Linked DNA regions of Nothobranchius furzeri. The main gene of each other region encodes a partner of the protein of the gene in region 2 in a complex. Links are inferred from orthologs where the notes say so. Each region holds a gene or a part of one and is shown on either strand. Other genes may lie near its edges.

What was found.
Region 1: dpm2 (region 2) and dpm3 share a complex: the UniProt entries of both Homo sapiens proteins name them as parts of the dolichol-phosphate mannose (DPM) synthase complex. The link is inferred for Nothobranchius furzeri from reciprocal best matches to the Homo sapiens genes DPM2 and DPM3.

The regions. Positions count from the first base shown.
Region 1 is NC_091759.1:5,963,464-5,966,213, forward strand, and holds dpm3 (dolichol-phosphate mannosyltransferase subunit 3), read right to left. Parts: upstream 1,646-2,750; 5' UTR 1,588-1,645; intron 1,400-1,587; 5' UTR 1,378-1,399; coding exon 1,099-1,377; 3' UTR 753-1,098; downstream 1-752. UniProt on the Homo sapiens protein: Stabilizer subunit of the dolichol-phosphate mannose (DPM) synthase complex; tethers catalytic subunit DPM1 to the endoplasmic reticulum.
Region 2 is NC_091746.1:70,784,759-70,788,690, forward strand, and holds the start of dpm2 (dolichol phosphate-mannose biosynthesis regulatory protein), read right to left. Parts: upstream 2,722-3,932; 5' UTR 2,622-2,721; coding exon 2,619-2,621; intron 1-2,618. UniProt on the Homo sapiens protein: Regulates the biosynthesis of dolichol phosphate-mannose. Regulatory subunit of the dolichol-phosphate mannose (DPM) synthase complex; essential for the ER localization and stable expression of DPM1.

The DNA.
Region 1 (2,750 bases), on a different chromosome or scaffold from region 2:
ATGCATTGTACGCTTCCAATATAAGGGATTAAAAACGAATGTCCAAAAATATTTACACTTTTGTTCAGCCTGGGACAAATACTTCTGCAGAAAAGAGCAAATCAGTTTTTTTTTAGTGGAGAATCAAAGAAACACTGAGAGTTTACTAAAAACTTTATGTGGCTGCAAGTGGGAACAGATCTGCTGTTGGTGTAATTGCCAAATTAGAAGATTTTCAAGTAAGTTGTGTTTCATCCTGTCTGCTCAAGCAACAGCTTGCACAGATTCAGTGGGTGGGTGTGTGTGGGGTGGGGGTGGGGGACATTGCGAGGCAAGATGGAGCTGCAGCCTAACAGGCAGAGTTGCCAACTCTTTTTGCATTTGTTCAGAAGTTATGAGATCGTTTGATGCCCCGTAATGATGCCTTTGGTGAAGCTATGCTTTGTTTACACACAGCAGGGACTTGGTGAAAAATACGCAAAGGCAGCCTTTTACAGCTCGTAAAAGAAATATAACTGCCAACATCGATTACTTCAGAGTTACATACGCAGATTTGATTTTTTAGAATCAAATGCATTTGGAGAAATATTACATGATGCATAGTTTGTGTCATAAACTTACAATTGGATAAAAAGAGGCCCGTCTTCTCCCAACAGGTTAAGCAGAATGCCAAGCCCAAAAGGGCTTTGTTCTGACCCGTTTGAAGAGGAAACCCTTTGTAAAGCCACAAAGGTGCTTCACAGACATACCTGAACCTCAAGAACAGGAATCCATTTAGAAAATAAATTCCCATTTAATTAATTTTTCTGAAACACCTCAAAGGCATTGAACAAAGGAATGTAAACGTCTTTACAGATTAAATCTGGATCCATCTGCAGGTACGGGCATTACATCTCCAGATGCACACGATGCAAACACATATCAGCTTGACTCAAAGCACGTGGGAAATCCCAAAGAGCCTCTGGATTAGATTTGTCAGGATTAAACTGGAAATGATGCGTCAACATAAGTGACACAGTTTCTTATCCACATTTTAGTGAAGATGGTTCAGTTTCATCCATCCAGCTGTGAAACACATGTCCTCACTACTCGGTCTCTACAGGGTTGAGTCTTTGTGTCCTACAACTTCAAGCCCTTTTTTCTGAGGTCTTCTTTAGCTTCCGTGATCTGCTCCTGGAGCTCTCGAGCTGCCTCGTCGCAGTCGTTGAAGGTGGCCACCCGGAATCCCACCGTGGCCAGGGAGTAGCAGCCGAACGTCACCAGCAGGTAGAGAGGCATCGGCCAGGCGATCTCCCGGTACACCCGCGGGAGGCTCAGCTCCAACAGGTCAAACGTAACCAAAGCCCAAACTGTCCCCAGCAGAGACGCCCCGAGCAACCACTGCATCAGTTTCGTCATGACGGAAGCTCTATGAAACGACCTGAGAGATAAAACTGTGTTAGCAACCTGTTAGCTTATCGAGCTAAAATACGCAGAAATAAACAAACGACAAGAAACGAAAATAAACCAAACACTCGTTGAAAAGACGCGAACGCAACTAAATAAAAGGGTAGTATATAAAGCATCTATTTAAATCACGTTAAAGACCAAATAAACATGAATGTTTACCTTCTTTCAAACACCACCTCAGCACTGCGCAGATTAATGACGTTGCAGTCCGCGATGCCTTGTGGGAAACGTAGTAGCAGGACTAGTGAAATGTTAAAGCAACTCAAAAGATGCTAAAAGCCGATTTATTTGACTCAAACAAACTTTGAATTATATTTATTGTATAACCTAAAAATAAAATAAGCAATTTTTTATAAGTTTTAAAGAAAATCTTTTATTCACTTGTTCATTTTATTTAGCCTAATCATTAATTTCCAATGCATTTATTTATATTAATCGTTTTATTAAACAGTGTTATTTTCCCTAAATGTATATAAATGATCTTGTTTTTATTTTTGAACTTTCAAAAGACACAAATTATTTTTTATTTTTCAATTAAAATAAGATAATTGAACTCTTTCACATTTGCAAAATTAGAATTTGCATTTTATGAAACTATTTTAAAAGTGTTATACATGGTTTCGTTCCATATTTGTTTTTGCAGTTAAAGGGACTACAGATGGATAATGGATTGAGCTAGATGGACCTGACAGTGTTATAACTTCTTCTCAAGATTAATGTAGGCCCCACACATTCCCTGCTTCATTAATTTGATTAGAAAATACAGCTTTTCATGTTTCTGTATGGTAGCTTTAAACGACTTTCAGTTGCACCATAGAAATTAAGTGATTTATGTTAATTGCACTTATTTATTCAGTTACTCAGTTTATGATGAACACATAAATAAACTCTCTTTGACTAGCTAATGACCCCCAGAGAGGAGTGATATGACAGCAGCCAGACTGATAATTATTTAAACTTCCCTATTGATCTTGCTGCTGTGTGCAGTTTTCACTAGCGTGATGAATTAAGACCAGTATTCAGTCAGCTGTGAGAAAGAGCACTGTTTGTAATTGGACTGAGTCTTTAATGAGCTTTCCCAGACAAGCTTTTAACACATATTAGACCTCTGACGCTTTTTCAGTATCCCTTTCATGATTTAGGAAAGCCATTTTCAAAATCAGATACCATTAGCAATCGCTAAAAGCTATTTATGTATTTTCCAAAGAGAGGAATTGAAAAACAGTTTAATTTAGGCACAAACGGGGGGCTCTTTGATCTTTGATCTCAGTCTCTGTGTTAGTTCTACATCACATGCCTTTTCATTTACGGCGGTGAACTGA
Region 2 (3,932 bases):
TAGCTAATATTTTACCTAACACCTTAATATCGGAATTGAGTAAACTTATCGGCCTCAAATTTTCACATTTATTACTCGGCTTTCCCGGCTTAGGTAGCAAAATGATTTGCGAACCCGTTACTGATTTAGGAAGACTTCCTTTGTGTAATGATTCCTGATACATTTCCAATAATGGTTTCACTAATTTACTTTTAAATTTTTTATAAAAATCAATTGGAAATCCATCTGGTCCCGCTTTTTTACCTGAACTCATACTGTTAATTGCCCTGCTTATTTCCCCTTCGGTGATTTCTGCATCTAATTGTTGTTTTAAGTCATCTGCAATAGTAGGAATATTTATTTTATCCAGAAACGCATTTCTGGAGGTTTGATCTGATCTATCCTGAGATTCATAAAGTTTTTCATAATAGTTTCTAAACGCCTTATTTATTTCCATCGGGTCTATTATCATTTCCCCTTTGCTGCTTACAATCGATGTTATATTTTTCTGCACTTCCAATTGTTTAATTTGCCATGCCAATATTTTTCCAGGTTTTTCTCCTTGTTCATAAAAAGACTGATTTAATCTCAAAATGTTCGAAGCCGCTCTATCTGCCGATTCTTTATTGTATTGTGCTTTTAGTATTAGCAATTTTTTCTCTGTTACTGGGTCTCTACTTTTGAATACTAGTTCCTCTAGAGTTTTAATTTCCTTTTCCATTTGCTGTCTTGTTTTACATGTTTCTTTAGATTTCGATGAAGTATATGCAATTATAACTCCCCGTAAACATGCCTTAAATGCCTCCCACCTAATACTAGCTGATGTTTGTGAACCATTTATAGTAAAATATTCATCTATTTCTTTTTCTACAAAAGTGAGGAATTCTTCATCATTCAGCCATTTCTGGTGTAAACACCATCTACGCTCCATTATTAAGTTTTTATGTGTATATATGATATTGCAGGGAGCATGGTCCGATAGTAATATACTGTCATATGAGCATGTCCTTATGTTTGATAGTAGGCTTGCTGATACTAAAAAATAATCTATTCTGGAATATGTATTAAATGTTTTTGAATGGCAGGAAAAAATTATATCGTCAGGTTTTAACTGTCTCCAGATGTCAATCAACTGAAGTTCCTTCATGAAGTTAAGAATTGTTTTTCGGCTTTTGTTATGGGCCTGGTCAGTCCCAGTTGGTCTATCCTTACAGGGATCCAGTACACAATTCCAATCCCCTCCTATGATGCATTTTCCTTGGAGTAATGAAATTGTGAGAAAAAGATTAGTAAAAAATGCATCATCATCTGTATTTGGTCCATATACATTAATTAAGTTAATGGTTTCTTGTATAAGTAATCCCTGGATGATCAAATACCTACCAAATTTATCTTTGATTACATTCTTAACCTGAAAAGGTACTGATTTATGTATTAATGTGATTACTCCCCGAGCATTGGATCTAAATGGTGCTGCATACAACGAACCTTGCCACCTCCTGCCAACCTTAATATGTTCCTCCTCCAGCAAGTGCGTCTCCTGAAGAAAAATTATTTTAGCTTCCAGATCTTTCATTTTGGTCATTACTTGCTTAATCTTTTTAGTACTTTTTAAGCCTCTACAATTCCAAGAGGTACATTTAACTTCCAGTTCCCGAGTCATCACACCTCACATGCACTTCTAAATGCTTAAACTTGTCTGAGAGTACGAACAAAACGGAACACAAAACACGAACTTTAAGTGAACAAACCATTCTTAAGAAAAAACACAAAAAACCCCACCCACCCATTTTCTGAGTAACCCACTCAAATGTTCCACTTCCAACTTTAACCATGTACAGATCCCCGTTTTAAGATCTGCTAACTTAAATGACTGGCATTATGCCTAGCTCTTCCCTGCTCCCTGTGTCCTTAATGAATCCTTAAGCTTTGCTAATATTCCACTGCCCCTTAATAATTAACTACTTTTTTACTGTCTTTAAACAAAATTGAATAAATTCAATAATTAAAAAAATAATAATCGTAATTAATAACTAAATAAATAAAAATGAAATGTAAAAAAGTAGTATAATATAAAAGATTGAAAATTATCATTCTTCCTATCTAGTTAACTGTGCAGATAAAAAAAAAAAGAAAAAACAGAAAATCGCTTTATTCTTAATTACCTTCTACTTTGATGAAGTTATCTATATCTTTTTCCAAATGAATCATTACCCCAAAATGTTAGACCTTATATTATCGTCCTCATCTCTTGGATTAATAAATGATTTAATCCAGAATGTTCTCTCTCCATTAGGGTGTCTCACTGATTGAGTGAAAAACAACAGGGTGGACAGCGCAGCACTGGCGACGGATCGAACATCAGCATGTCTTTAAAAAAGCACGACAATAAACTTTAAAAGGAAAAAATAAACCCGACAAAAACGTAACGAAAGAAAAAGGCAGTCCATCTCTTCGTAAACAGACTTAAAACGTGATTTTTGTCATTAAAATGAGTTCAAAATAAACGAAACTTAAAACCTAAAATTAGCTTAAACAAGCTAACATTTAAACACACAAACCACAAAGTAAAGCCCTCTTTAAAACAACACCTGTCCGTTTAAAACTGCGTTCATTTGTAAATAATTGACATTTCTTACCATTGTCGCAGCCCCGTACTGAAAGATTGTTTACTTCCGGGTTCTTCTTCGTTTTCTAAATCCCTCAGAAAGACTCGATCTCTACCGCCACCTGGTGGTCGACCACTGCAACAGCTTCCATTTGGTTTAAAAGGAGTTTCAGAACTAAAGACTTTTATAGATCTTTATGAGTACACACTAGTACTATAATAATACACTACTCCAGTCTGAGTGTACCACGCCACGCCCGTCACGTGGCGAGGCAGGTCTTGTGGTGGTCTTTAAGGACAAACATGTCTAATCTGGTGAAAAATGGCCCCTTTAATACTTTTGAATGTCAGGTCACCAAATGTATTCAGTGTGTTTTAATCTACCGACCTCCCGGTCCAGCTGGCCATTCTCTGAATCAGCAGAACTTTTATCATCAAACTAGAAAAAGTTTTGATTCTTGGTGAACGTTTTTAAGGCCCATATGAGCTCTGGGACAGCTGAAAACGTCAGTGTGAGTCTCTTTATTCTCTCCTCTTGTCTGAGCTGATGGCGCTGTATGCGTGGCGCGCTTCCAAACAATTCAATTCAATTTATTTATAAAACGCCAAATCACGATCAGAGTCGTCTCATGGGCCTGCACACAGTAAACATTCCAGTACAGGTCAGTACATTAAGCCAATCAGTAACAAGTTTCCTATATAAGGAACCCAGCAGGTTGCATCGAGTCACTGACTAGTGTCAGAGTCTTTACAGCAATCCTCATACTAAGCAAGCATGCAGCGAAAGTGGAGAGGAAAACTCCCTTTTAACAGGAAGAAACCTCCAGAGGATCCTGGCTCAGTATAAGCAGCCATCCACCACGACTCACTGGGGATGGAAAAGACAGAACGAACGAACACACACACACACACACACACACACACACACACACACACACACACACACACACAGGATGGCTGGCAAATGATTCTTTTATAAATCTCGGAGATTTCTCCTAATAAATGACCGGAAAGACTACCGGTAGTCATCGTAACGTGGAAAAAAGTCCCGGTAAAGCACTGCTGTCACAAAAGATCCTCCTATAGAAGGAAACTAAAAACACGCCCCCCCCCCCCCCCGAATTTCTAATCATCTTTTTTTTGTTTTACTTTTCTGATGTGAATCCATTTCTGTTAGCGAACACTGTTTTGCTTTGATCTATGTGAAGCACTTTGTGACTCTGATAAGTGCTATATAAATAAAATGTGCTTTAGTTACTAAAACTACAATCTTGAAAGTTTCGTTAGAATTAACAGGACTCTTCTTGTTTCCCTTGAAGACGTGTGGCTTCTCATCCAGGAAGCT